3 linked regions of the Mytilus edulis genome follow. The protein of the gene in region 1 purifies or fractionates together with the protein of each later gene. This does not show direct contact. Links are inferred from orthologs where the notes say so. Each region holds a gene or a part of one and is shown in the gene's direction. Other genes may lie near its edges. The genes, in order: protein max-like, paired amphipathic helix protein Sin3a-like and max-binding protein MNT-like.

Region 1 (8,001 bases):
CTGTTTTTTTACCATGCATACGTATCAATTATTTTGAAATAATATCTTTTCTCTGATATTCTTTGGTCATTTAGATATACAAAAGCTTTCTTCAAACTGAAACATATAAATCTGACCAGATCTAAATTTACTGCAAGCGAATGTGTATTCAGAACTTACTTAATTTATTGCAGTGGAAAGGCAGAAAAAAAATTGAAGTCATTGTCGATCCAGAGACTTCTCATATATCGATCCAGTGTAACGACGTAATGGTCATGGAAAAACCCCGACCTTATGCAATGCTAAAATAGAGGTATCGACTTCCAAACTAAATCTTTGTTTCTATTCCTGTAAGAATTTACATACAAAAGAATGAAGGACATTTTTTTTTACATTAATCAGTACACGTGCTATGTCATTGATAAATCTTATAAATAGCTATCATTGATGTATTAAAACGGGAAACACTTATACCCTGTTATAATTTTGAATATATCTGTTTTACATTAAATGTGATAAAAAGGTTCCATACCAAGTGAACTTATGAAGGATTTCCAAATATGTTTCTTCTGTAGAATACTGTTCATTAAATCAAGGGTTAATTTTCGAATACATGTGATCAGGTGATATATAGTTAAAACTAAATTACTTTATAAATGCATTTGACTCTGTATGGAGAGATGCTCTTTTGTACAAACTTTATAATATGGGGGTAGGAAAGAAACTTTTTAACATTATAAAAAGTAAAATCACAAAAATACTGAACTCAGAGGAAAATCTAATCGGAAAGTCCATAATCACATGGCAAAATCAAATAACAAAACACATCAAAAACGAATGGACAAGAACTGTCATATTCCTGATTTGGTACAGGCATTTTCAAATGTAGAAAATGGTGGATTAAACCTGGTTTTAAAGCGCTAAACCTCTCACTATGATGACAGTCTCATCAAATTCCGTTATATTTAAAATGATGCGTGAACTAAACAGACATGTATAATAAATAAAATAGTAAAAATATGGGTACAGAAGTCATCATCGTGTAACAATTTTAAAAGGAACAATTTAACAGAACACTAATACATCTATCTACAAACACATTCATTGATTCGCGTGTCTGACGTCAGAAAATTTTATACGTCACATATATTTGTCACATATATTTGTCGTTCAATGTATATACAAACAATTTTAAATCTCACAAGGGCAATCTTAGCATACAGGGTTAAAAAATCAAAAGTATGTAAGAATTAATTTCAGAAATAGATCGAGATTTGAAATAGTCCAAAAGTTATAGAATCTATAAGAATCCACAAATAGTTCGTTCCACTACGCGATTGGTTAATTTTGACGTTTGTGGTTCAATGTATTTTCTAATTCATAATAGAAATATATCATAATGACAAAAATGTAGAACAATATCATACTGACGGGATCTTTTAAAGTACAGAGTCACGTTATAAGAACCAAAGAAACACAAAAAGTCCAATTAACAAAACACACCAGCAAAAAATGAAAGAATATACAAACACATTGACGGGATGTTAAATGGATATCACATAAAACAATCCAACAGTAAAAGGAATATTAATAATAGAACAAAGCCAAATGAAAGAACAATATAACACGTTGTTAAGATGATTAACAACATCAGTACGCAGAATCTATACATCAAGACCATCGTGTATTATTGGTGATTTGTGAAGTTGATACGGAATATTTATCAACAACTGAGGTCTTGGTACCTTCCGATGATTTTTTTTTTAGAAAAAGGACGAGACGTTCTTTGACATAGTACACTTTGTGTCATCAACTTTCGACTCAGACACTGATGACGTTTTACAAAGTCTGTGTAGGAGCTGCAAGCTCTTGAATATCGAATAAGTTGTGAAATATATATCGCATATGCAGGTGAAGTTGGTATATTGCTACTAAGGTGGGGGAATTTAAAACATCTATATGATGACACTGGGTCTTCAATAAAATATAAAAACATGGTAACTGATATGTTTAATATTACAAGAGGGGTAAAACAATATTATTCACTGAGTCCTACTTTATTTAATATATTCATTAATGACATCACAGAGGTCTTTAAAAATGACTTGTGTTATCCTCTAAAAATTATAGACTAAAAACTAAGTTGCCTGCTTTTTGCAGATGAATTTTTATTTTTTTCAGAAACTAAAACAGGCTACAGAATAGTCTCAATAATTTAGCTTTATACTGTGATAAATGGCAGATAGAATTGAATATTAAAAAGACAAAATCTATGATATTTAATAGGACATGCTCTAAACTAGAAAAAAAACATTTTTAAATTTTAAAAACAGTAACATTGATAATGTATCAGAATACTCATTTTTAGGCTTATTAAGGTAGCACAGTACAAAGATGTTTCATCCCCAATCAGACATCTTTAAACTGATGCAGTTCCACTCCTCTTTCTTTAAAATTATAAATGAAGTACCAAAAGAAAGTAGAAGGATTAATCTTTCAAATTGTGATAATTTCATTATGACATAATTATTACATAATTAATTTTTATGTAATTAGTTGCCATATTGTGATGTCCATACTTGAATGAATTTAGCTTCTTTGTTATTCATATCATCCCAAAATATTTTATACATTCTTGCACAACACAGTTTGACCTCCAAAACTGTGTCTCAGATTTTTCCTATTGTATTTCATTCTCTCATAAATCTTCAATGAAGTTTGCAACATCAATTCATAAGAGACCACTAAATTCAATTGGGTATAAAATTTGTTCTATTGATGTTTTTGGAAATCTGAGACACGGTTTTGGAGGTCAAGCTGTGTTGTACAAGAATCAATAAAATATTTTGGGATGCTATGAAGAACAAAGACGCTAAATTCATTCAAGTGTGGACATCACAACATAGCAACTAATTACATAATAATTAATTATGTAATAATTATGTCATAATGAAATTATCACAATTTGAAAGATTAATCTTTCTTCTTTCTTTTGGTACCTCATTTATAAAATGTAAAGAAGGATGACATGAATTACATCAGTTTAAAGTTGTCTGATTGGGAGTGAAAAAAAATCTTTGTATTGTGCTACCTAAATGCAATGGCAACATGTCTCATAGTACTTAAGAACTTGTCAAAAAAAGCCCAAAAAGCTTTATTTGGGTTGAAAGCTTACACAAAGTCTTTGAATAATTTACCAGTCAAAGTGGCATGCCACCTGTTTGATTCCCTCATAAAACCAATTATGATTGATATACAACTCTGAAGTAACACATTTAGGCACCCATATATCTCTTTTTAGAGCAAAAAATAGAGCTTTAAATTCTGGAAAAAAGCCCAATTGAAAATTTACACTTGCAATTTTGTAAATTCTTACTAGGAACTAGAAAGAATGCTTCTTATCTTGCAACTAGAGCTGAATTGGGGAGACTTCCTATAGAATTTAATATTAAAACACAAACTTTATCATATTTAAAGAGATTTGAATGCTGTAAGTTAAAATCCTCTTTTGAAAGAAGCTTAATTACACGCTTAGTAAAAACTTAGACTCAGAAGGAGTATACTCCTGGTTTACCTATGTAAAAAAAAAATTAAGTGAACTTTATTTAGATATAACACAAATTCAACAAAATACTAGTTCAGAAAAAAAAAACATATAAGTTAATTATTTAAAGTTTATATAAAAACAAGCTCTAAAAACTACTTTGAAAATTTGATACATAATAAGAGAGCAGAGAATATGCCTTTTAAATGTAAAACATTAGATAACGAAAAACATGTTATATTAGATTGTAAATTAAATATGGAACTAAGAAACAACTTTTTTAACCATTTGGATTTTAATTTTTCTGTTCAAGATTTATCTGATGAAGAAAAATTAATTTTTATACTCAATCCATCAACACCATCACAAGTATATAAATTGGGGTCCTACATCAAAAGGTCATTAGAACTGATGACAGGGGACACTGGAATATTTACTGTAAATGAATGATTGTGTATATATATATATGTGAATTATAGTTAAATTGTTTACTTATTTTGTATGTCACAAAGTTAATGTTTCAGTAAAGTTTAAATTGCAATAAAAATTTGAACTTGTATAAATCCTTAAATAAAACAGTACTTAAATCATAAAACACTTTTAAGTTTTGCTACCTTCAGGCATAGATGACCTTTGTTTTAGCCCTCCGATTGTTTTCTTGGAGCATCACTGATATGAAATTTAAAGAGACAAAACACTCACTGAGGATAGTTTTCTAACCAAACATCTACGGAAGGTCAAAAGTAGACGGTTTTAGGGGTGGGTGGGGTCATAATAAAATTCTGATCCCTAATTTGATGCAAAAAATAGTGTTCAATCTATACAAATCCTCGGTTTAAGCAGTCTAAGTATAGAACGTCTTTAAAAAGTAAAATTTCAAAAATACTGAACTCTAAGGAAAACTCATTTTTTCTTATAAAGCAGAAAAAGATTTTTACCATATTTCTGTCAACGTATATTTGTTCCCCCTTACAGAACTTCCAACGGAAACTTTGTTATAAACATTGTCATGATATTTATTCCTGTTGTAACAAATATTCTATACAATTTATTCCCGTTAACTTAGGAACCGGCATACATACTGTAATATTTATTCCTGTGTAAATAATAAAAATCCAGAATATTTTTTCTTTTTGGAACTTCTATTCCGTGACATTTCTACGCCTATTTCTACTTTATTATGTTAAATTTAAAAAAAAATGATAGCGTTGAAAGCTAGTCTAATTAAATCGAAAGTATTCAAATTTCGCGGGTTTTAATCCAAAACATTGTTTACATCACGCCGGAAGTTGCACGTGGGTATCCCTCGTGGCGTTGTTTGGTTCGCCATTTTAGGTCGTAACCTGGTTGTTTGAACGGGTTTCATCGTTGAATGGGTGCTGGATACCATCATGAGCGATGAAGACAGGGACGTTGATATAGAAAGCGATGTAATTGAACTTTATGTCCACCATTTTTATAATTTCCATATTTTTAAGTCGTGATAATGACGCCTTGATTACATTTTATTTGACCTTAAAATTTCCTCTATGTATACATTACAATGTTGTCTCGTTTTGATTTTGTAGGAGGACGATGACGAATTATCCTCAAATGCCAATACACAGTTTATGACACAGGTATAATTAATTAACAACGATATACGTGATAGAATATACTTATCTTTTTTTTATATGATCAAGTACAATCCTGTTTATAATTAAAATTAAAACAGTGAATCCCTCTAGATCTTTTAAAATGAAATCCGTCAATATAAGAATGGTTTCAAAGTTTCCTACCAAAGCATGCATCTGGCATCTGTTGTTTGAAATATTTGTCACTGGACCTTTAGCAAATGCACCTTATTCTGTCTCACTTGGCCAACTTCCTTCTTTTTGTCTCCAGTGTCGAAGGATATCAGCAGAGAAAACAGTTGAGGAAGTGAACATTTTAAAATTTTAATAGATTATGATCCATTCACAAAGAATCATTGATCAATGGAATAGTCATTCAACAGTAACAGTTTGTGCAGAATCTGTCAATATTTAAAAAAAATCATATTAATGATGAACATTGGAATCAGAAGAAGTTTAATCCTACATGACATTAGATAACATTTATAATATAAATGTAAGGGACAAGTATTTAAAATATTGTGGAAACCATCGTACAACATGTATACCAGTTCAGAAAATTTATTCATTCTATTTATGCGCACAGCTCATAGTTAAAATAAGTAATTTAATATAAAGTAAATTATGAGGCGACAAAAGAAGTTTTTAACTTAATGATCGCCGCAATAATCCGGGTAGAATCCAGGTAGGTAGGTAGAGTTAATTTGAAAAACAATGCAATGAGAGGGAGTCTGTTTAAAACAGTCATGCATCAGTGATTCCTGATATATTTGCTATATAATCAACCAAATTTTTCTCTCAAAATAGGGGGCCTGGATCAGCCTATGGTGTATTAAAAGTCACACTGATAATGCTGATTACAAAACTCCTATTATTTGATAAATATTGAAGTGGCATAATTGCTAATGAGACCAACAATCAACTGAAGACCAGTTATTTTTGTGTATATTTTAGTGCAAAATAAAGATATTTGCCATTGATTGACATCCAAGTCCCTTGCTGTTAGTTTTTTAGTCCATTAATTTTTACATCAAGGGAACTACTATTTACACTTGACTTGTGTGTACGCTAATTTGTTAGTTATTACTTAAAATCAAATTAGCTCCTGTAAAATTTTGCAATACATGTTAAATCATTGGACTTTAAAATTTAAGTTTTCTGATTGTTTCATAAAGCCACGAGGTAAATCAGAGACCGATCTATGGTCATTCAACAATAAACCGGTGTTTATACGATATAGATGAGATCAAAATCATCCTCAGACTATTAAAATGGTGAATACAGACCTGAACAGAAACTATATAATCAAAGAGCTGTCAATCAAAAACATTCAATAATTTAATAAGACACAACAAAACCACTTGCAAACATTCTTACATACATTTTGTTATCCTGATGAAAGCAGTAGAAATTATTCATCTGTTTTGTTTTAGGCTGAAAAGCGTGCTCATCATAATGCATTAGAAAGAAAGAGGCGAGATCATATAAAAGACAGCTTTTCCAGTCTACGAGATTCAATACCATCTCTGCAAGGAGAAAAGGTATCATCAGTCAAAGTAAATATCCAAGTTCATCATAAGGTTATTCCTGGAAAAAAGTTATTGAAAGGTTGAATTGTCATAGAAATACACACAAAAAAAATCAATTTATGAAGAAATCATGATGTTCAAAATAATTTTTTTCCTGGAATTTCCCTTACAATATTTTAGATTATGAATTATAACTTATGTTTTCTATTCAAATATTTTGTTTAATCTTTTAGTGATTTTCTATAGTTTTTCTTAAAATTCTTGTTCATTATTTTTTTTTTGTAATACAGGGGTAGAAATATAAAGAGCTCTCCTGTGGCTGCTGTTATTCAAGACATTCAACCCAAGTGCAACTTTCCCAACTTATGGCACTTATGCCAACTAAGATATCTAATAACACATTAAAAGTTAAAAAAAATCAATTGCTAAGACAACTAGACAATTTATAAGAGGGGTCTTTTGAGCACAAAATATTATTTTTATAACTTTACCGCATACCATGTGACTTGTGTATCATATGAGTCCTGACAAACTATGTCTAATGTTGTGTTGTTTTGGTTTTTATGCCCCACCTACGATAGTAGAGGGGCATTATGTTTTCTGGTCTGTGCGTCCGTTCGTCCGTCTGTCTCGCTTCAGGTTAAAGTTTTTGGTCAAGGTAGTTTTTGATGAAGTTGAAGTCCAATCGACTTCAAACTTAGTATACATGTTCCCTATGATATGATCTTTTTAATTTTAATGCCAAATTAGAGAGTTTACCCCAATTTCACGGTCCACTGAACATAGAAAATGATAGTGCGAGTGGGGCATTCGTGCATACATGTGACAGAGTTGTCAAGCCACAACTGGAGATTTGGAAATTTTCAGCTGGAGTTTTAGCCTCATAACTGGAGATTTTATATCGACGTACGCAATGGTTTTTTCGTGTGTGTTTAAACTGCATATCTTCCTTTTTTGTTAAAAAAAACCCCAATGATTTCATACCTTCAACATGTTCAAGCACCTGCATAGCCATTTTTACTTAGTAAAATAGAAGATAAAGGGGGGGGGGGGTCGAATATTTATTCATCATATATAGTTCAAAGTTAAAGTGATCCGCCATCATATATAGTTCAAAGATAAAGTGATCAGCCATCATACATAGTTGGCAAAAAGTACCTCTGCTTTAGCCAGATTGTCAACTTTAGTACCACTACTGAACATGTTTGTAAAAGAAGGTGTTGAATTGATAGAGTTGTTGGCTTTCTGGTGGGTAGCTGTCTCCATATTTTTGGTCAAGTAATTAGGGCCCCATAGTCAGCTTTGCATGAAGTGTAGTAAGCATTGTCTTGACCCT
Region 2 (7,973 bases), on another chromosome or scaffold:
ACCCCACATTGACCATTTACACAGAAATTAACAACTCTAGGTAACCGTTCAGTCTTTAACAATGATCAAAGACTTTTAGCTCATACAACATAGACAGCTATAAAAGGACCCGAAATTACTAATTCCAACATTTCAAACAAGAAATCCGAATTTAAATCAGTTGTGTTACAAAGCAACAAACTACAATCACTGAATTGAAGGCTCCTGCATGACTTGGGACAGACACATACATACAGAAAGTATCGAGGTTAAATTCGTTTGAAGGCACCAACCCTCCTCTAACCTTGGACAGTGTTGCAACTTAAGTTAAAAAAGTATAAAAAAAAACAAAAAAAAAACAGTTAAAATTGTTTACTCTACCAATTGAATCACATCTAGTTTAACTACTCAATACATAAAAAAGAAGATGTGGTATGATTGCCAATAAGACAGCTCTCCACAAGAGACCAAAATGACACAAAAATTAACAACTATAGGTCACTGTACGGCCTTCAACAATGAGCAAAGCCCATACCACATAGTTCAACTACTGAAGTTTAGTATAACAGCTAGTAGAGCTACTACCTGTAAAGTCCAGTCTTATCTTCTATCTACCAGATGAGCAACATTTATTTACTACTGCAATGCTGTCTGAAACTATCGGGTCAATTTAATTTTAACAAACTGCACGACCAAAACTATTCTCCACTGACTGAAACAGCATGTCAAAAATGTGTCACTATATACAAATCCTTGGAAACTATTTTACATGGTAGAATAAGATAGATATAAACTTTAAATACAAACATATATGATCAGCAAGACAATATTTACAAATTTAAGTCCAAGATCGTCAGTCGACTTGTCCTTTAATGACAATTTTCCATTTTATTATTTTTTGTAGCATTTTCGGAGATTATCTTGGAAACTAATATATTAGATGGATAGAAACTTTTAATCGCAAAAATATGACCAAGACACTATTTACAAAGCATAAATCTTTAGTCAATCTATCTTACTTTTCACTTCCTGAGTATATACCTTAATATATTTTGAAAGGTATATTTAGGAGGGGGAATTAATGAGACAAGTGCCTGTGATCAGTGGCGGATCCAGAAATTTTTATACATGTTATAAGTGGGGGCCCAATGACTGGCCTAAGAGGGGGCCCGCTCCAGTCACGCTTCATTGATTCCCTTTATAAGCAACCAAAATGTATCCCAAAAAGGGGGCCGGGCCCCTGCCCCCCCCCCCCTAAATCCGCCTCTGGTAATACGAATCCTTGGTTATTGCTTTGAAAAGGTTTCTTCTTCTTCTTCTTCCCGTTACGAGTCGAACTCTGTAGTAAAGTGTAATTGACTCGGGCGCATCTCAAACAGACAGGAGGCCACTCCTCTGGCCAAAAGTAAAAGTCCAGGAAATAATCTGGACAGTATTTACAATAAAAATATGATATTAATTACATCTTTGTACACTGGTTATCCTGCTGTCTATTTCAGATGTGGCTGGGTCCAGGGGATGGTATTCACTCTGGCCCTGAAGTCCTCTAGGGATCCGGACTCCACTACAGATTCGGGGAGTTTATTCCATTCTCTAGTTGTTGGTGGGAAGAATGAGTGGTAGTATACGTCCCTCTTCACTCTAGTTTGTCTAAGTTTGTGGTTGCCCCTGGTCCTACTGTCTCCTGTCGTGTAGTATTTGGCTGGATCAATGGCAATCATCTGATGTTGAGTCTTGTAACACAACACAAGACTCTGTTTCCATCGTCTGTGTTGCAGTGATTCCCATTGAAGTTGGTCCAGTAGCTTAGTTACACATCCAGGAGAGTTGTCCTGGTAGCAACTATAAACAAAGCGAGCTGCTCGTCTTTGTACCTGCTCTATGTCGCGTATGGTGGTGATTTGGTGAGGATCCCATACTGGGGAGGCATATTCCAGGGTTGGTCTTACGAGCGTAGAGTAGGCTGTGGCTTTTGTTGCTGGAGTACACCTACCAAGATTTCTCCGTAAGAAGCCAAGTGTCTTTGAGGCTTTCCCTATGGTCTGGTTGATATGGTTTGTCCAGGTGAGGTCTTTGTTGATAGTGAGCCCCAGGTATTTCCCGCTGTCTATTGTCTCTAATGTGTGTCCATGGAGTGTGTAGGACGTCTGGTGTTGATGACGTCGTCCTGAGACACGGATGACTGTGCATATCTCCGGGTGGAAACACATTTGCCACTCCTTTTCCCATTTTTCCAGCGAGGTTAGGTCTTTTTGCAGCAAGTCTGCATCTGCTGTATTCCTAATGCGGCGGAAGAGTAGACAGTCATCAGCAAACAGTCTAGCGCTTGATGTTGTTGCTTCAGGGAGGTCATTGATGTAGGCCAGAAAGAGTAAGGGGCCCATCACAGTGCCCTGGGGTACTTCAGATACCACGTCAAGAGGGTCCGACTTATGGTTTTCAAGGATCACAGACTGAGTTCTGTTAGACAGAAACTGTTTAATCCATTCCAGCTGGGGACCTCTTACCCCGTAATAATCCATTTTACGAAGAAGTCTGGCGTGTGGTACCTTATCAAAGGCCTTGGCGAAGTCTAACAGGATGATGTCTGTCTGGTCGCCGTCCTCTATGTTTTTAGCTATTTCATGTATAGTTATTACCAGCTGAGACTCGCATGACCGTTTGGTTCTAAACCCATGTTGTTCATCGCAGAGTATGTTGTTTTGGTCAAAGTGGTCCATTATAGAGCTGTGTACTATGTGTTCCAGTAGCTTACATGAGATGGATGTCAAAGAAACTGGACGGTAGTTTGCAGCTGTATGCTTTTCCCCTTTCTTAAAGACTGGGACTATGTTGGCTGTCCTCCAATCTTCTGGTACTGATCCCTGGTCCATTGACAGTTGGTACAGTCTGGTCAGGTAAGGTGAAAGTTGATCAGCCATATTCTTTAGGATGAAGGCTGGTATGTCATCCGGGCCAGTTGCCTTGAACGGTCTTAGTCCTCTAAGTAGCTTAGTGACACCATTCTGGCTGATGTTTATTAGTCTCATGGTTGGATATGGACTCGGCCCTTTATCTGGCATGTTGTTTAGGTCTTCTTGGGTGTATACTGAGTGGAATTGAGTGTTTAGTATAGCAGCTTTTGTTGGTGTGTCGCTATGTAGGTATCCATCTTTATTTTTTAGGGTTGTTATTCCTGACGATTCCTGTTTCCTACTCTTTTTGTATGACCAAAATCTTTTAGGGTTCTTGTATAAATCATCACTGACTATGTTTTGCATGAATTTTGTATGCGCTCGTCTAGACTCTCTTTGAAGTTCAGCTTTAATGTTTTTATACCGCTTCCAGTCCTTTGTTGAGTTGGTGTGGTTAGCTTTAGAGTAAGCTCTTTGCTTCTGTTTGCTTAGACGTCTTAGTTGGTATTCATCCAGGGATGGCTCTGTCTAGCAAGTGATGTTTTTGTTGGTACGTGTTTTTCCATGGAATCCTTTATAATTTGTTTAATTGATGTCCACATGTTGTTAATGTCATCAAAGTTTGTCTTTTTGAAAGTATCAAATTGGCTGTCAAGGTGTTTCCCTATACTCTCCAAGTCTGCTTTCTTCCATAGGTATATTTTTCTCTTTGATGGTTTCAGTTTGTTGACATTTGCTGATATGTCCACTAATACTATATGTCGTGGTCGCTATTTCCTATAGGTGGCAGTGTTTTACATCTCTCTATGTGTCCTGGATGGCTTGTAAACATCAGGTCCAGTATGTTGTTTCCTCTTGTGTTGTTGTTGTTTATTTGCTGGATTGACAAGTCAGCTGACATCTGTAAAAATGCTCGATTGATTGATTGTGGCAGTTGGTTACCTTTAATCTCATTTCTTTCCCAGCTGATATCAGGTAGGTTGAATTCACCTCCAAGGAGGAATGTGCTCCTTTTGTTGTTGTTTCTCAGATTTTGTATCTCTGTGATTGTTTTCTCCACATATTTACTGTCTGTTTTATTTGGTGGTCTGTAAAAGCTAGTAATTATGTACTGTTTGGTTCCCATCTTTATTTTGCCTGTTATCATTTCAGCTTTGATTCAGAACATTTCTTTTTTGGGAAAAAATAACAGATATATTTTGTTTATAAATATATATAAACCGTGGTCGTTCCCGTTACGCCTAATCCCTTTCCTAAATCAATTATCATGCATAGTCAAATAAATTTAAATCAATTCACGGGGAAACCCAGTAACCTTGAATATCTAATTTTAACACATCACTTTGATTGGCTTCTATTTTTGCATAATTTTATGTTTGGAATTCCAAATTTCGGGCAGTTTGCCAATCATAAAATACAAGACGAAGGAAAATAATGTTTTGCATCCTGATTTTTTAAGGGGAGTCTAGGTAATCTGTATTTTTTAACAATAATTCACGTCAATTTTGTATGAAGTTGTAAACTAAACCGAAAGAGGTGTCTGATGATAGTACTCTAGTACACGTTTCTTGTGTATGTTGTTAAAAATGGACTCGTCTATGTATGAACACAGAACCCTTTTTGAAATATTCTTGTATTACCCGTACTGATGTTTGAGGATTTACAATGAATATTCGTCTAATGCTCTTTTTATTCAAAGTAGAATATATAAATTTTTAACAAATGGTTAAAAAATAAATTTTCAAAACGATTTCTCTCCGCGAAGAATAAATGTATCTAGGTCATGACTCACACAGGTGTTTTGTGTGTTTTCATTCGGAACACGATCATTTAAACAGGCGCGCGTCTTTCGGTCGTTTTACCACTTTAATATAAAATAGTAACAGATGGTTTACAATTGTAAATGAACCTTATATTACAATCCCTAATTTTGTATACATTAACTTTTTTTAAGATGTCAAGGGCATGTATCGATAAAAATACTACCGAGACACGCACCTTTACATATGTGTTAGGACGAGTCTACTGAAATTACACACAGGGGAAGGCAGGCAGTTGTTTATACGGCCGACAAGTACGTCGGTGATACACAGCTGTGGAAAATGTTAATTTGTTAATGATTTAGGAAATTCCAATTTATGTGTTATATACGTTAGGAAAGGTAAGCTTTCATTGCATTAGAAAACACTACTGGTCAACCAAAACAAATATAGGATTTTGAAATTTGGGTGGAAACATAAACTGATGTTTGAAAACCAATGTCGGCCATGATGAAACAGTGTGTGCTAAAAATATCCGCGGGAAAGGCGTTGCTTGTTCTGTATTTATTCTTCAACGTAATCACTATATAACAAAGCACATAACATAACATTTGTAAAATTAAAACAAACAAAAACTTTTATTTTTTTTTTTACAAAAAAAATTGTCTCGGCCCCCTCCCCCTTTCTGTGGTTTGAAAATTTATTGACGGTCAATAACAAATTGAGCTAGTATTTACTGTTTAACAACACAATACTTTATCATATTGATATTATCTTAAGGTTTCCACATAAGGTTTTGTGAGGGGTTCTTCATCTTTTTCTGTAAGCATGTGCTCACAACTTTGATGTTGATAATTTGGTCCCTTTGTTTCTTCTTGCTTTGTTGTGTTAGAAGTCTTACGAATACTCCTTGCTGTTTAAAAATCTGTCCCGCTTTTCCGTTGTGGCGTCATATATTGTCTATTATGACGTATAATTTAACGGGATTTTGTGATGTGCACTAATTGCGGACAAATGGCAAAAAAGAGTATCATCTAGACCCTGATAAAATAAAAACAGCAGTAATGTTAAGAAGACGCAACCAAAAATACATGTATCTTGTAAAATTAAGAAGATGTGGTAGGAATGTCAATGAGACAACTCTCATAAACAAGCAAAAGAGACTGTAAATAGTGTTTGATGTTCACGTTGCAATTATGAGTAAAACAGCTATATTTATAGAAAAATAAATAGATCTGGTGAGATTGCTAATGAGGCAAATATCCACCAATAGACCAACACTTGTACTTTTATTAACTCTTGAATATCTTCTTATGCAAAGATTGAGAAATAATATTGATTGCAAGATTTGAAATTGACTGTTTTTCATTTATCAAAGCTTTTGAACAATTTCATAAACTGTAAAACGAATTTGTTTGATAAAAAGTTTTTTTAAGAACTTTCTATTATATGATTCAAACAATTGTAAACTAAATTAATTTCACCTTTTTGTCTTTCTCAATTTTACGACTTTCTGTCCATTTTATTTTCTGGCATCAGTTTGTTTTACAGAATTTGTCAATCTTGATCATAATCAAAACATGTTTTTTACAGCTTATAAAGTAAACATCAAAAGTAAATGAATCCGGGAGACACCTATCGTTCATTTACATCTATGATATTCATATTTAAATTGAAATAATTTATACTATAAAATACAGGTCAAGTTATATTAGTATTGAATATTTTAAACATGTTCCATTCAAGAGTTATGTCCCTTACTGTAAATGTTGATAAATGTATTTCCTTGGATTTCAGATGATAATAATATTACTGTGTGACCAAATCTTAAGGCAATTATAACATAGTGTCATCAATCATAAACTACATGTCGAGTTCAATTTTCATGGTATTGACATTTCCGTTCCAGAGTTATTCACCTTAATAACCTTTAAACTTTGATATATATTTTTTGGTCCATGTGATAAAAAATCTTTTAAGATTTTAATATAATGCTACAAACAAAAGTTATATGAAACATAAAATATAGGTGACATTGCAATTGGGATCTAATTTAGGACCTTAAATTTTAAATTTATTTGTAAAAGAGGGACGAAAGATACCAAAGGGACAGTGAAACTCATAAATCTAAAATAAACTGACAACGCCATGGCTAAAAACGAAAAAGACAAAACAGACAAACAATATACACATGACACAACATAGAAAACTAAAGAATAAACAACACAAACCCCATTAAAAACTAGGGGTGATCTCAGGTGCTTCGGAAGGGTAAGTAGATCCTACACATGTGGCACCCGTCATGTTGCTTATGTGATAACAAATCCGGTAAATAGTCTAATTCGGTAGGTCACATTCATGAAAGGGAAGGGGATTGTAGTTACGACGTAAGGAACAAAGAGTTTCTACAAGCAATGTGATCTAAGAGTCACTGAATTCTAGTTTTCTGATTTAACCCACATTAATTTAGTAGAAAAAAATCAATTTCAACTGGATAATTTAGTGTAAAAAAATTTTGTTCTCATATAAACCAAATGAATTTTCCTTTGGAAATAAATTAAGTTCCATGCACAAGTTAACTGATTTTAGTGTAATTGGGATTGCTTTGGAAAAATATGTGATTTCCCTGATTTTGTTAATGAAATTGAAAAGAAATTGCAATTGCTAATCTATTATATCTACCTTATTATTTTTTTTTGGCATAACTTATATTATTGGTACAAAAACATATGTGCTTGTCAATTTAATAATGAACATTATATACTAATGAAATGGTTTTGTTTGACAGGTATACATCCTATCCTAACTATACAGGTGTACAAATAATGCAGCGAAGAGTTGACGAACAGGTTAGTGATCAGATTCAATGTATATATAATATTTATAATTATCACTTTTTACCAAATTTTCATTTGACCTTACTGACTGATAATTTCCTTTCTCAGCAGAGAAGTGCAATATGAAAAATTATCAGTAGAAACTAAGCGCGCACATGTCGTTCTCAATGAAATAAACAGCTTCGTCATAAGTAAAAATTGAAATAGGGATAAACAGATTATCCTTGGTAATCTCAACTCAATTACTTTTCTCACTTTCGCCGTACCGACTCAATCGAGGAAATCAATTTGTTGAGATGACAACCGATAAAAGATAAATATTTACTAACCCTTAGCTAGTTAGTCAGCCTGTTAACTATATAAGAACCTTGAAGGCATTTCTATAGAAGGTTGATCATCTCTCTGGACACGTCTGCTTCTATCAGTCTTTACTTTTAACCACAAAAAGATAAAAATATTTCCTCACTATTTCATGATTAAGATTTAAATTTGTTTAAGACAGA
Region 3 (7,822 bases), on another chromosome or scaffold:
TTCAATGTTATTTTCAATCTCTGTGTAACTTACCTCTCAATCCAACCATACTACCATTGAGTGATGCGTAAAGGAATGTTATATTGTTTGGCATGTGGATTAATTCTCTTGTAGGAGTTATCTCCACCCACATTGATATAGATGTGTTCCTGTAACCATAAATTAATTATTATCTATATATAAATGTCTTAAATTGAATAAAGTGTATTAATGAAAAACAATGTTTAAGTGTATATGTATATTTCTTGTAATTTCAATAACCCTTCTGTGTCATTTGGTCTGTTGTGGAGTGTTGTCTCATGGGCAATCATACCACATCTTCTTTTTTATACTTGATGATTATACAGTAAATACAAACTCATTGTGTCGAACTGGGTTGAGTTGTAACAAAGATAAGTCAAGGAATTTGTCAGTTGCTCAGTGCATTCCTAACTGTTGTTTTGTTTCATCTAACCTTGGGTGACTTTATAAGGTGTAATACCACCATTGATTTTTCCCCCATTAGTCTTTGTTAAATTTGCACTTTTCAAAAAAATTGTGCATAATTCATCTTTGTTTCAAAGAAAGAAATACGTAACACGAGTAAAATTTTAAATATTTTAAGGGTTTCCAGACAGACCTAACTTTTAATGCAGGCTTCACATTTTATCAGTTTATCTCAGGATAAGCATAAATCTTAACCATGTTAACTTACACAACTTCATCATTTGTGGGTCTAGAGAAATGTGACGTTGGTCTTAACTTTGAGTATATATGGTGTAATCTCAATGGAGGTTCAAAATCTCCTATCTGTATGTCAGAATCATTATTAGTAATACAAAAGTCAACTTCAGCAAAGTTCTCTAAAAATGCCTGCCATTCCTGAAAAATAATAAATCATCAAAATCAACAATGTTAACAGCTCAAGTATGTAGTACAGTATAGCTTTATATTTCAAAGAAAATAATTGTTTGAAATAGCATGATTAACATATGCATGTTCTAGCTATAATGCAGCTAAATTGAAAGGCAGGCCTGTCCTGTCTGTCTTAAAGCCCTGCCTTGTACTTTTGTTTTCTAAAATGCCATAATATATTCATAATTTAATTTTCATGGTTCAATAACAGTTTATACTCAACATGCTCAAGTGATTCTTTAAATTTCATGACAACAACAAAAAAAATAATCCATTTGAATTGAAATCATAGACATGTTAGAATTAATTTAACGTCCTTTTTTTATGCTTTACAACAAACCTTAAAAATTTTTGGAACAAAGTCAGTAGGGGACTAATAAATGGAAGAGATGGAGTGTTATTGCCGATGAGACAACTATTGAACAGAAACCATATATTTATATTTGTAGTATCATTTATTGTACTCCATGTTTGTGATCCTCCCTAAAAACTGTCCACTTGTTCATGATCAATGTACTTACCTCAGTTAAATCTGGATTGTAGAGGTCATTAGATTTAAAATAATAAGACAGTGAAATCAAAGCTATGGCAAATGCTCCGAGACAGACCATGAACATCACCAGTGGAGGACGGCTGCTGGTAAATCCTTTCAGATTCTCCCATAATGTCATTTTGTCAGCCAAATCTCCTGAAAATAATGGGGATAATTAATTAATATTCAGTGAAAAAATCAAGAAAATCTTGGTTTCAGACTCTACGATGTCACTCACGTAAATGTTTATCACCTTGTTAATGTGCATTTCATCAAAATGATTCAGTATGGATCATATATTGATGTCTAATTTGCGAAAGTCAAATAAGAAAATTACCAGTTTCCCTCCAACATACGGACAAAGGGAAATAACTCCACCTATAATCACAACAATATAATTCTTTTGGAAAATAAATCTACCCACTGGCATTTACCTTTGTACAATTTACAATACTGGCTACCAGTACTTATCATGCTTTTCATTCTAAACATTTGGATAATATGCCAGTAACCAGTTGTCATTAATTACCTTAAATATAAGACAGTCAATCTTGTTTGTGTTACAGTTTAAAATCATACACATCTTCAGCACCTGAAGAGCTAAATATCCTTCAAATACTCTTGTTTATCATCCTTGAAATGCTTGATGGGGAAATATAACTTGATAAGAATTAAAGGCTATATGTTTCCCTGAATTATGACACTTTTTATCAATTAACACAATGATCTACCAATTTTTACAAGCAGGAAATGTGTTTTACCTGCATTTGTGTTTGTATCACTATTTAAGGCCATGGAAAATTAATTGTTGGTTTCCCCTAACATGGGAAAATTTTAAAGGCAGGCTTTTTTTTTTTTTTTTTTTATGTAACCATGTGTAATTTTATATCTATATGTTTTGTTATAATAACGGAACTATAATCTTGCATATTTCCAACACTTTTAGTTGTCTCTGCAAAAAAAAAAAAATTTTTTTTTTATTATTATATTATTATATATTTTTTTCTAAAGAAAAATTTAATGACCCGGCGGTAAAAAAATGACCCGGTTGGGTTAGGGGAAATCATCAATTACTTTTCCATGGCCTAATGTGAATAATGTCACTCTCTAGTATGGCAATAATAAGATCTTCAAATTTGATATCTGTCAGTGCTACATATCTGCAGGAACATATATATTAACTGTTCTTTATACTTGTATTTAGCTTTTTCTAAATTTGCCAAAAAAAAATATATAATGAAACTATAAATATGTGTGGGGAAAGAAATTTTTAAATGTGTATTTCTAAGGATTTTTTTTATAAATTAAATTGCAAGGTACATAGCTTGTGTTTTGTTTGTCAATTATATATACTGAATTAGCAACAATTTCTTGTAGTAATAAAAAGATTAACAAATTGATTTAATTATATGTAATTAATCTTAGAATAACAAATTCCTCGATATAACATTGTGTAATAAACAGATTAATCAGTTGATTTAATCATGTGATTTAATTTTCACACCTTCATTAAATGGATTATGTGTATTATTTCTACAGTTATAATAAACATTTTAATTAACTAACATTCTGGAAGCTGTTTGATTGCATAAATTTAACATTTGATAAAAGGGTTGGTGAAGTCCTAAGATGACATAAACTTTTAATGCTTCACTGATGTTTGGGCACCATGGGTGCTGAAATAAATATTGAGTATGTTGGAGGTTACACATTAAATGTGTTTTGACTAGGTAATTTACTTTACCATGTTTAAAGGATGCTGATTTACACAGTTGTTCTTTTTAAATGTTTTTGATTGTATTTTTTTTTATAATGTAACCATGGTCATATTAGTCAATTTCTTCTAATCAACAGTTCGGTTTCAATACAATTCATAAAACAATATCTGGAATCCTTATTTGAATGTGGAGATTTAATAAGTAATATCATGAATAATTTTGCTTGTTTTCCTAAGGGTGAAATAAGCAAGTGAAATGATTTAAAAAGATAACCATATAGTTTTACTCTTCTAGTTTGAACCCTTTTTACCAACGGTTGGTGAAATATGTAATGGTTTATTTTTATAAATTGTGACTTGGATAATCAGAGAGTTAACTCATTGGCACTCTTACCACATCTTCTTATATCTCCATGTTTATATTTCTGACGTTATCACATTACTTTAGTGAGTAGATTAAAATCAGACACAGTAAAAGAGACTATAACATTGGAACTGATCATCTGAAGTATTGCACACTTTTCGCATTTATTTCATCTTTAAAACAGAGTCAAAGGAACAATTATGAATAATTTAATCAGACATGGTACAACCTGACAACAGGCACTAGAATTGAGAATATCTGTCAATAGTAATAAAATATATGCAAACATCTAGCCTGTGATTAGTACAAGTTTCATTAGCATCACTCCTACCAGTAAATGTTCTTAGCCAGGCATGATTTTTAAAAAATTTTCTTTATTAATTCACAAAATCCTGAGGTAAAAAAAGATTTGTATAAGCTTTTTACTTTTAGAAAGTATACCCTGGGAACAGTATATCTATGTTAATATATATGTTCCTGTTTATCAAGGCTTTTCAATTGTACGTGTGCAATATATTTTGCAGCTTAAATTTCGAATTTTTATTTGCTAACTTCTTGTTCCGTAGTTCTGACATGCCAAATCAGAGATTATAGTGCTTCAAAGTTAAATTATTTAGCATGCATGACTCCATGTGATGAGTAGTTCTTCCACTGACAGAATAATCTGCAAAGACAAGAGTAAATAAAAACTCATTAAAAATTTACCAAATATATTACAGTTTATGATCAACTGTAAATTCACGACATCCTATCGCCAGTTTCAGCAGCAAAAACTTGTCAAAATGTTGTCAAATCTGGAGCATCAAACGTCACAACTTCCGGAACCCATTTTGAAAGGTAATATATCACGTGATTTCTATTCCACATGGCTTCTATAATCACCAAGGGGAACCGCCCACTTCTAAAGTAAACGTGGAAATGCCATCGAAGTTTGTAAAAACTTGGCATTAATTTTCAACATAATGCTATAATATCAATAAAAATACATTAAAGGGATATCTTCAAAAGTAATACGGCAATAAAAAATTATAGATAAGTCTAGAATAGGTGAATCTACTTGTTGAACTAAATAAATGGAACAGCCAAAACAAAACATGTGATTCTGAAGTTTGTGTATGACGTCAAAATGCTTAAATTTCATTGGACAAGGATGACAGATGCCAATCAAAATCCACGTGGTGTTGTAATATTTTGCACGGCAGCAAGTGTTTTGGTACCGCCGCCCGCCATGTTCTTTTAATATTTGTAAGAATTCAATCAAATATTTGAGGACACATAGTGTGTCCTCATGGATATATGAGTATTTCGGATGATAAACAATTAATGACATCTATAGAAGAGGGCTTCGGTTCTGGCGATGAGTTTGGAAACTTTGTTGGAAGCTGCGGAATATCTAGAATGGCGTAACAAGCCTAAAACACGTGGTAAGCAAAGCACATGGCTGCAGAAATTGCCTTATATGAACACGAAAACTACATTTTGTCGTTTGAACTTACAATTTTATTACAGTATGCACAATATTCATTCATGCAATAGATAATCTACGCTTCAATTTTTGTGTTATAAGGAAGATATCCATCTTGAATTTTTGACGGTTCCTGGTCGCTACCTAATTTGCATATATTTATGAGCATGATCACTCGACGCTTGGATTTTTTTTTATTTTTTGAAGGTGATAGTACATCAGAGGACCCACACGGATATTCATCACGAGTTGGGAATGATTCTGACGACTCTCCTGAATCCAGCAACTCTGGAAAGTATGCAGATGGAGATGAAAGAGAAAAAAGGCGAGCCGGAGGGTCTGTTCACGTGACATATTTTGACATGTGTATTTGCACACTAATAATATTGTCGATCTGATCGACCTTGAACACACGTGCTATTTGCCGCGTGTCATTGTTTACAAACAAAATAATAGACGTTTATTCAGTGCAATAAATTTTTCATATAATAATAATAAATGAAAAATGAGAGAACTTTTACAAATTATTCTCTAGACTACATGTCCAATCCTTGAACTTTTTCAGAAAATAAAAAAAAAAAAAAAAATCAGTTTTTGATGTTTTTCTTCCAACAATTTGAAGAAGAGCTTATCATTTAAGAATAATTATTGTTTTTCTTGAACTTTTTTATATCAACACCTTTGAAAACAAAATTTAATTAAAAAAATCAATTATGAACAAATATTGTTAAAAAAAACAGTAATAATGGCTTAGCACATTTGTAATTAAATGGCTTCATGGTTTCTAAAAATGTATCCTTTGCATGATTTATACAATTTGCGAAAATCTTCATCCATCAACTAGTCCAAATAATTATGACGTCTGGCAAGGCTATTTAAATTCTTTTCTGGGACGCTTTCCTACGAAGTCATAACGCTGAAGCCATTTTTTACGTCTGGAGTTTGAGGGGGAACTTTGAGACCTAATTTTGACATAAAATTTGCCTTGCAGGTTTAAAATTTTTACGTAGTTACAAAGTCCTACCTTTTTTGTGCTTTATTGATGTAAAATATTTCCAGAAGAAATGGTAAAATAAGATACGATTCCATTTGAGTCCGGCAAATATTGTATTTTGTTTCAAAAAGATTTCCCACAATAATCAATGAAACGTCACTTCCGGTGAATATTAAATATTAAAATCGGTAAGATTCAATGGACCCGAATTTCCGGAACGTTCGATTTACATTATCTGGAAATTCATGTCTTTCAAAATGTCCCGCTTTTAATATTTTATATTCACCAGAAGTGTCGTTTCATTGATAATTGTGGGAAATCTTTTTGAAACAAAACAAAAATCCAGATGTCATAATTATTTGGACTATCCATCAACATGATCAATACTTGTGAATAATTTCAGCAACTGAATAAAAAAGAACTTATTTCAAGATCTTAAAACAATTATGAACACTATTATTTGTGACTTTCTGTCTGTTTTTTGTATATTACTGAGTGGTTATGTCCTTCTGTCCCATGTATTTTTGGTTAAACTTTTCCCAGGAACTTTTTCTTGAAATTTCATTAAACTAATGCATATTGTACATTTTGTATGTGAGCATGCTTAATACTGTGTGACATCATAACTTTCCAATTCATTGATTAAAGAACACTTGTATGTACAAAATTGTGTAAAATTTCGTCACATTTTTCTCTGGAACTGCAAATCAAGGCTTTCTAAAATTTAGAATGAACCTTCATGTGAGCATACTATACCATGTTATGTTTGTTTAAATCCGTTATGAAAAACATGATACAAATGTTACATCCATGTACATGACATACAATGTATGATGTCATTAGTAGAATTATAAATATTTTTAAACATGAGTTGAATGCACACAAAAGCATTGACAAATGGAAAACACATTTATGATATCTGGTTTCTAATAATTAGCACTCCTTTCAAACTCCTGTTGCATATATATTTTAACTCATCATTTTATTATTTTAGGGCTGGAACAAGAGAAGTTCACAACAAATTGGAGAAAAACAGGTAAACTTGTAATGCTATATAAACACTTAATTATCAAAGTTCATCATGTTCATGGATACTGTTGAATTTTTTTGCTCCAATTTCTTGACCAAATGCTGTTTTAAACATAAGAATTCGAAGGTTGATGTCAGAATCTCTTCTTGGTTTATAACTGCTACATATATTCTTAGTATCAATTTGACACTGATCTTCATCTTCTACCTACATGATCTGTGTAACTTCTGTGAAATAATTTTGGCCACACTTTAAAATATTTTGGTTGTTCAAACCCTTCCCAAGACAGCAGGTGCTGAGGGGGCATAACATGTTTCTGTTCTCTAACTGCTAACTTTAGTTAAACAAGTAAATGTTTCAAAATTTGTACACAATGCTAATTACCGCAAAACACCAATAAAGTTTGAATTTTGGTGACGTCACTTTTACTGTTCTAGAGCTGTGCACCCATTTACAAATGGAAAACATCTGAAATTTTGTTTTCTTTCTCTTACTTTTGTTTGCCTCATCTAAATGTTATGAAACGTGTACACAATGCAAAATAGAGAAGCAAAGATATGGGCTATCTATCCATGACACTTAAAGTTAGAACATGCACAGAAAAAAACACAAAAAGTAAAAGAACAGAATTGAATGGAGAGTTGGCACTTTTTCCTTCTTACATCTATCTAGAAACAATATATTCTGTTATATTTGCTTTAACTCTTAGTTGCTGATGAACTATAGGTGGAGAAGCAGCAACAATAGTTGTAAAGATAAGTTGAAAGAAAAATATCTCGCCAACCTGCTGAATTATAAGTTAGATAAGACCACCTCAAAGTTTATA

The links.
Region 2: the proteins of protein max-like (region 1) and paired amphipathic helix protein Sin3a-like purify together in Homo sapiens (affinity purification with mass spectrometry; 3 studies listed by BioGRID and IntAct, with this or other methods). This does not show direct contact. The link is inferred for Mytilus edulis from reciprocal best matches to the Homo sapiens genes MAX and SIN3A.
Region 3: the proteins of protein max-like (region 1) and max-binding protein MNT-like purify together in Homo sapiens (affinity purification with mass spectrometry; 7 studies listed by BioGRID and IntAct, with this or other methods). This does not show direct contact. The link is inferred for Mytilus edulis from reciprocal best matches to the Homo sapiens genes MAX and MNT.

What each region holds. Positions count from the first base shown.
Region 1 is NC_092346.1:5,090,916-5,098,916, forward strand, and holds the start of protein max-like, read left to right. Parts: upstream 1-4,811; 5' UTR 4,812-4,914; coding exon 4,915-4,953; intron 4,954-5,091; coding exon 5,092-5,142; intron 5,143-6,569; coding exon 6,570-6,692; intron 6,693-8,001. UniProt on the Homo sapiens protein: Transcription regulator. Forms a sequence-specific DNA-binding protein complex with MYC or MAD which recognizes the core sequence 5'-CAC[GA]TG-3'. The MYC:MAX complex is a transcriptional activator, whereas the MAD:MAX complex is a repressor.
Region 2 is NC_092354.1:81,250,133-81,258,105, reverse strand, and holds the start of paired amphipathic helix protein Sin3a-like, read left to right. Parts: upstream 1-4,663; 5' UTR 4,664-5,034; intron 5,035-7,421; 5' UTR 7,422-7,458; coding exon 7,459-7,482; intron 7,483-7,973. UniProt on the Homo sapiens protein: Acts as a transcriptional repressor. Corepressor for REST. Interacts with MXI1 to repress MYC responsive genes and antagonize MYC oncogenic activities. Also interacts with MXD1-MAX heterodimers to repress transcription by tethering SIN3A to DNA.
Region 3 is NC_092349.1:3,785,762-3,793,583, reverse strand, and holds the start of max-binding protein MNT-like, read left to right. Parts: upstream 1-4,649; 5' UTR 4,650-4,864; coding exon 4,865-4,931; intron 4,932-5,179; coding exon 5,180-5,309; intron 5,310-6,960; coding exon 6,961-7,002; intron 7,003-7,822. Other genes in the region: transmembrane protein 248-like, read right to left, coding at 34-149, 695-861, 1,416-1,565. UniProt on the Homo sapiens protein: Binds DNA as a heterodimer with MAX and represses transcription. Binds to the canonical E box sequence 5'-CACGTG-3' and, with higher affinity, to 5'-CACGCG-3'.